Oryctolagus cuniculus: one gene and its partner. The protein of the gene in region 2 purifies or fractionates together with the protein of the main gene of each other region. This does not show direct contact. Links are inferred from orthologs where the notes say so. Each region holds a gene or a part of one and is shown on either strand. Other genes may lie near its edges.

The links. Proteins that work in one complex are often made in the same cells at the same time.
Region 1: the proteins of PSMD14 (region 2) and PSMD5 purify together in Homo sapiens (affinity purification with mass spectrometry; 6 studies listed by BioGRID and IntAct, with this or other methods). This does not show direct contact. The link is inferred for Oryctolagus cuniculus from reciprocal best matches to the Homo sapiens genes PSMD14 and PSMD5.

Annotation. Positions count from the first base shown.
Region 1 is NC_091432.1:224,739,420-224,742,986, forward strand, and holds part of PSMD5 (26S proteasome non-ATPase regulatory subunit 5), read right to left. Parts: intron 2,172-3,567; coding exon 1,980-2,171; intron 29-1,979; coding exon 1-28. UniProt on the Homo sapiens protein: Acts as a chaperone during the assembly of the 26S proteasome, specifically of the base subcomplex of the PA700/19S regulatory complex (RC).
Region 2 is NC_091434.1:80,409,529-80,413,600, reverse strand, and holds the start of PSMD14 (26S proteasome non-ATPase regulatory subunit 14), read left to right. Parts: upstream 1-1,213; 5' UTR 1,214-1,393; intron 1,394-4,072.

The DNA of each region.
Region 1 (3,567 bases), on a different chromosome or scaffold from region 2:
CTCTTAAGCAGGTGTTCAAAGCGAGTTCCTTTGAAGGACAAGGTTTTTGGGTATAAAATAAACATAGAATTTACCATTTCAACCATTTAGTACATTAATATTAACGTGCAACAATCATCACAATCCATTTCCAGAGCTTTTTCATCAACTAAAACCAAAACTCTGTATGAGTAACAATAATTCACATTCTTACCTACCTTCATCCCCTGGGAAGCACTACTCTACTCCGCATCTCTATACTTTTCTAGCTATCTCTAAGTGGAATCATAAAATCTGTCTTTTCATGTCTGGCTTATTTCACTCTGCAAAATGTCTTTAAGGTTCCTCTGTCCTGAAAGCGTATGTCAGAATTTTGTAATTTAAAAAAGACGAGTAATTTTCTATTGTATGTATATACTAAATTTTGTTTCTTCATCTGTCAGTGACCATCGAAAGATGTTGCTTCCATCTTGTTTGGCTGCTGTGAACAATACTGTTATGAATATAGTAATCAAGTGTTTGACTGAGGCCCTACTTTGAAATCTTTTGGGTATATACCTAGAAGTGAAACTGCTGGATCATATAGTGAGTTTAACTTCTATGAAACTGTCATACTAATTTCTTTAGCAGTTATAACATTTCATATTCTCACCCAAAAGTACAAAGATTACAATTTTTCCATATCCTAGTGCTTGTTATTTTATATTTTCTTTTTTAAATTTTTTTTTATTTTTATTTTTTGACAGACAGAGTGGACAGAGAGAGAGAGAGACAGAGAGAAAGGTCCTCCTTTGCCATTGGTTCACCCTCCAATGGCCACCGAGGCGGGCGTGCTGCGGCTGGCGCACCGCGCTGATCCGAAGGCAGGAGCCAGGTGCCCCTCCTAGTCTCCCATGGGGTGCAGGGCCCAAGCACTTGGGCCATCCTCCAATGCACTCCCGGGCCACAGCAGAGAGCTGGCCTGGAAGAGGGGCAACCGGGACAGAATCCGGCACCCCGACCGGGACTAGAACCTGGTGTGCCAGCGCTGCAAGGAGGAGGATTAGCCTAGTAAGCCACGGCACCGGCCTATATTTTCTTTTAAATAACTATCTTGATAGTTGCAAAGTGAAAAATGAGCTTAAAAAGAATACTTTCATATACTATAACCATACCAACTTAAACCAACACAAAAATAGGAATATACCCAGAGTCAAATGACAGACCTAAAACATACAATTATGTGCAATGTAGCACATATAAAGCAAAGTGCACGGAACTGGAATCAAACGACCTGGATTTGAGTATAAGCTGTTCCAGTCTGCATAGTCTTGGAAAATTTTCTTAACTTTATGTTCTTAGCAAGATTGTAAAAGGATTGTATGTCATAGGTAAAAGCACTCACAAAAGTACATATTACACAGATATGAGTTGTGATACAACAGCATATTAATTTTTCAATATATACTTCACAAGGGTTTTCATAATAGTGCCGCATATTATCTTTTTGTGTAGAATTCACTGTGTTAAGATACTCTTGGCTATGCCATAAAAATATCTTTTTAAACATAAAATCTGGTAACAAACTTTTGTTTCCCTTCCTTCAACATTACAAAAAATAAAATTTCATTAAATATTCACAGCAACCCTGAGAAGTGGCTGTTATGCACTTTTTGAGGAAAATGAGGCTTAAAGGAGTGAAGAGAATAAATGAAGTTCAAAAAGCTAAGTCAGTGTTAGAACTGAAATATGACATGGTCTTCTGTTCAAGGAAGATGTAGAAGGGAAAGTGACCCAAGTTGGAAAATAGAGTCCTAAACAGTAAGAAGTGAAATAGAAAAGGTTTTCAGTATTAATTATGAGACTTTGAGGGAGAAGTCCAAGGTGATGGATAAGAAGACTGCCACCCATAACAGCAGTTTCTACTTTGTACCTAACCTATCAGCAAATGAACTTGATTACTGAAAATCTTGTCAAAAATTAAGATATCCTCAAAGAAAACCAAGACAAGTCATACCAACCTGTTTTATGCAAAACTTGTTTTCCTTCAATATTGGATCCCAAGATTCCAATTGTGTCTACCGCTACACCAATCATGGTGGGGTCCTGACTTTCTGTCATTTCAAAGACTTTTTCCACAAAGACAGGATAACGCTCACAGATTTGTTGAGGACTATCCATGACAGCTAAGTTTCCAAAAAACTTCACAAATCCTAAAGATAATTACAAAACCATATTTACTTATTTAAAATATTTAAAAATTCTATTTATTTTCACTTATTTGAAAGGCAGAGAGAGAGAGAGCAATCTTCTACTCACTGTGTTACTTCCAAATGCCAGCAATAGCTAAGGCTGTGCCAGACCAAAGCCAGGAGCCTAGAACTCCATCTGGATCTCCTGTGTGGGTGGCAGGGACCCAGATACTTGAGTCATCACCTGCTGCCTCCCAGTGTGTACATTATCAGGAAGCTGGATTGGAAGCAGAGGCAGGACTCAAACCCTGATACAGGATGCAGGCACCCAAGTGGTGGCTTACCTGCTGTACCACAATGCCTACCCGCAAAGATATATTTTATCTGAGGAGCAAAGGAGGACAAACTGTGGGTTTTTTTTGCTTTGTTTGTTTATTTTTTGATATAGGAACAATAACAAACTGCAGGGCAAAAAGAAGAGAAGATTGGAGTAGAGTGTTGCCTGGAAATCAGAGAGACCCATAAGGAAAGAGTGACAGATCTGTGATGCGTGGTCCTGAGAACAGAAACCGCAGGCTGTCACTGAAAGTGAGTCCAAACATTAAAGTGTTGTCATATGCACTAAAGAGAACAGAGAACAAGGACCAACAGATACAAATTATATGAACGCAAGTTTAAGGTTATTTAGTAAGAAATTTTTAAATAGATATGATCATAAAAAAAAAGTTAGATTAACTAAGAAAAAATAAACCTCTAATTTTTAAAATGTTCAAAAGGGTCTAAGCAACAATGTCTTAGAAAGGCCTAAATTAGATAAATTAGGTCCTAAATTAGATAAAGATTTCCAACCAGAGATCTGATGATTCTTCGACAGTTGTTGTAAATATCACTATTAGTATTTTGTGTTTCTTTTAATTGAACTTCTAAAGAAAACTACCCAAATGCTCCAAAAAACACTGATGCTTCCATGGGGCAGCACTGTGACACAGCAAGCTAAGGTGCTGTCGCAAACAGCTGCTCTGCTTCTGATTCAGCTGTCTGCTAATGTGCCTGGGAAAGCAGCAAAGGATGGCTCAACTGCTTGGGCCCCTGCCACCAACATGGGAGACCCAGATGAAGCTCCAGGTTCCTGGCTTTGGTCTAGACCAGCCCTGGCTGTTGTGGCATATGAGGAGTGAACCAGTAGATGGAAAAATCTCTCCTTTTCTGTCACTCTACCCTTCAAAGAAACAAAAGCATTGATGTTTCCAGAAAATCAATAGTACGTGGCCCCCAGAGCAACAGATTACACCTCATTAAGGGACTATCAGTTTCTTTTCTTTGGATCAACAATCATACATGGGGGGCTAGCGCTGTGAGGTAGTGGGTAAAGCCACCGCCTGTAGTGCTAGCATCCCATATGGGCACTGGTTTGAGT
Region 2 (4,072 bases):
ATGAAAATGAAGGGGATAACTGCAGAATTTTAAGAAAAAAGTGAGGAAGGCTTTCACTAAGGCTAACCTGGGAAGAATGGAGAAAGTGGGCTGGTGGACTGTAAAAGTTATTATGGAGATTAGACACTTCATGTTTTCTAGAGGGATTAATTGGGAAGCCGAACAAGCAGTACCTAATCTCAGGTTTCTGATTAGGGAAGTTACTTGGAGGGTTATTTACCAAAAACAAAACAAAACAAAACAAAACAAAACAAAACACAAGTTTTGGGGGAAAACATAAAACCTGACTCCAAATATAATTATTACCTGTAACATTATTAAGCATTTTTAGATAGAGATGTTAATATATTGTGTAACTCACATTATAGCTTTGTATCTTGATGCTGTCCTCTCTCCTCACCCTCCATCCAGTAGATTAATCATAATTCTTAGGAATGTTTGAAAGATGTTTGTTAGTTGCAACATATCTGAGAAAGAAAGAGGGACGTGGTAAATATGTTGCCCGAATAGAGGCCTAACTAGACCCAAAGTGTGACATAAACTTGTCCGTAGTTATTCCTGCTTTTAGAAAACCTAGCACAGAGCAGATCAACCAGTAAAACGTGGTTGTTGATAATTATATGGAGAAAATATTTAAGTAAAGGATTCCTTAAACCCTGTGAACTGAACTGCACTTAAAATATTTGGGAACATTAGTTTTCCTTGAAATTCAATGTTTGCAAAGCAGTAAAGAAGTGGGGGGTCAAGTGGGCTACGGAAAAAGCGCGTCTGACCATCCCCTCTAAACATACCAGCCCCTTTTTCTTTTTTGCTTCCTTCAGATGACCAATTAGTTCAAGTTTACCTTTGTGAGTTTTTGTGGAAGGCCGCAATGGCGGTGGACACCACAACGAAAGGACCCTAGGGTCCGCAACAGCAAGAGTTGCATTTCCTAGCCGGTTCAGGGGCTGGCGGTGCCGGCGTCCCACAGCTCGCCTGCGGCCGGGGAACACAGAGGTGGGCCTGGAAAAAGGAGGACACCCGAGAGGCGGGGGCGGCCCGAGCGCAAACTTCCGCCTCCTCCTCCCGGTGAGACGGCAGAAGCCGCAGGACCCGCGCGGTCTGCACCGTGCGTTTCCCCTGGGACGCCCGCTCGACTCTCGAGTAGTCTCCAATTGGCCGCCAGGGGAACGGAAGCCGAAGCAGAGCAGTGAACCCGGAAGTGCTTCGCGGCGGAGGCCTGGGCGACTCTTTTGAATGGAATAGGGCTGATTCATCGCCGGTTCGTGGAGCCAGAGCCGGGCCGGGTCTGAGCCGCTGCCGCTGCCGCTGCCGCCGCCGCCTCCGCCGACGCGTTATCCCCGCTGCAAGACAAGGGTCCAGACCGTGGCCTCCTGTCCCTGCCTTCCTTCAGGTAAGACCGAGAAGGCAGGCCCGGGAGGGCTGGGGAGACAGCCGCGCTAGGCCGCTGCCATCCCCGTGCTTTCCTGAGTCATGTTGCCCAGCCGAGTTGCCACTGGAGGCCGGGGACCTTAGGGAGGAGCCCAGGCTCCTTCGTACTCCTCGCAGGTTCCTCGGGGGTCTCTGGCAGGGTCAGATCGGGATGTGGTTTCCTTCTTCAACTGGTTTTTGCTTGACTAATTCCCATCGTCTTGGGAACCTATCCTCCTTATCCATGGAGAGCTCTTGTTTATGGCCTATTTGCCTGTGCTCTATTGGTAATTAGTCCTGTGTTGAAAAACGTCAAAGCTGACAGAGGAAACAAAGGAGAGGGAATAAAATGAACTTTTACATTGATTGCATGTTGATTTATGATCTGTCCCTCCGGTGGTTTGGCTTATTTTCTCTTAGTGATAGCTTTTCAAGTCCAAAAAATAACCGAAACTTCTCCGAGATGCAAGTCTTTAACGTTGAATATCATTAAAACTAACAGTAGTTATTCAGGTTACGCCTATGAACTTATGTTCAATGTTGTCCTAATTGAGTAGCTGAAAGTTGATCACATGTCCCGCTTTCAGTAAAAGTTGAAATCTGCTACTCTGTGTTACTTCCCGGAACTTTTTTTTTCCTGGGGACTTAGCTCCCTACTGTCAAAAGAATAAAAATGTAAACTTTTTAAAGGAATGTCATTATAGATCTAGTCACTGAGTCAGAATTTCTAGAAATTAAAATGGTAAACAAAAGTTGGTAAAGATGTCATGGGAAAGTCAGGAGAGGCTTGAAAAATTAGCATAGTGTTTTTCACTGCTCATGAAAGTGTTTTTCGTGTTGCTGACTTGATGTGTTTGAGTAAAGCAAAAGAAAAATACTAATGATGTGGAAATAAAAACAACTCAGTTTGGAGATGATTAGTATAATGATAGCCTTTTTGTTTCATAAGACCACTAAGTGGCTTTTTTAAAATTTAAATTATGTATGGTTTTTTTTTTTTTTTTTATTTTTTTTGACAGGTAGAGTTAGTGAGAGAGAGAGACAGAGAGAAAGGTCTTCCTTCTGTTGGTTCACCCCCCCAAATGGCAGCTACGGTCGGCCAATCCAAAGCCAGGAGCCAGGTGCTTCTTCCTGGTCTCCCATGCGGGTGCAGGGCCCAAGCACTTGGGCCATCCTCCACTGCACTCCCGGGCTACAGCAGAGAGCTGGACTGGAAGAGGAGCAACCGGGACAGAGTCTGGCGCCCTGACCCGGACTAGAACCTGGGGTGCCAGCGCCGCAGGTGAAGGATTAGCCTGGTGAGCCGCGGTGCCGGCCTAAATTATGCATGTTTTAAACAGATTGCATGGGTTATAGTGCATTTATAGAAATTGAGAGATATGCTGGCTCAGAATTAAGGAAAGATGTGGTTACTGAAGCCGTAAGTGGAAAGCCTGTCTTAAATTTGTCCCTAACAAAGTTAAATCTTGCCAAGGGAAGAAAGTTTTGAGTCATAACCTTTTACTAAAGCTTCACCTATTGAGTTTGGAAGATCCCCCACCCTCCTCAAAGTGATTGGTTAATAATACTGTCATTGTAATTGAAAAGTTGAATTTTAACCTGTCTGCTGTAGATTCTTCTTATTTTGTAATTGCCATATAAACTTTGTGCTTAGTTTTTAAATTCAGAACCACATGTTTGGAAAATTAATTACATGAAGCTATTGTACTTTTTTAAGAAATACTTTTATTTATTTATTTGAGATATAGAATTACAGACAGAGAGAGGTGGAGAGAGAGAGAGGTCTTCCATCTCCTGGTTCACTCTCCAAATGGCCACAAAAGCTGGAGCTGAGCCGATTCAAAGCCCAGAGCCAGGAGCTTCCTCACAGTCTCCCACACAGGTGCAAGGGTCCAGGCACTTGGGCCATCTTCCACTGCTTTCCTAGGCCATAAGCAGAGAGCTGGATCAGAAGAGGAGCAGCCTGGTCTCGATTCTGCACCCATATGGGATGCTGGTGCTGCACTGGAGGCTTAGCCTGCTTCTCCACAGTGTCAGCCCCCGCAATTGTACTTTTTTGTTTTCAAATTCATAACAATCTTCCTTTTGTAGTTTCATGTACACCTGTGAAAATCTTGCCTACATAGTCTTGTGATTTCTAATGAATTTATCTCATACCCTACTTGTGTACTAATTTGACATTTTGTGTTCTGCTTGGTGATATTTTGGTGTCCCCGTTTATAAAATGAGAGAACTAGATTAAATCTCTCCCAGTTCTAAGATAATAACAGTAACAGCATTTATTGAGTACCTAGGATATTCAGGCTTAATCTCAGCAGATTTGCAAGGTAGATATTATACCCATTTTAGAGATGAAGTCGAGTTCAGAAGAAGGTACCTTGTTCCAGTAAGTAGGTTGTAAAGCCAGGATTCAAATCTAGGTTGACTGGTAAGACTTTCCTCCATACAGCTGTCCTTTTACATTACATAGTTTTTACAGATTTATGTCATACTCTCCTCTCCCTCAGGTTTTTCCAGTGCAAACTGCTGTTTCTTGAGTATGCAAGACAGTATTCAGTAAATGTTTTACTTGAATGCTGTGATTAGGAGACATCATAGATTTTTTATAATTCCCTTCTTTTAAACCCTGGAAGGTCTTGCTTCACTAAATCTTGTTTGTATA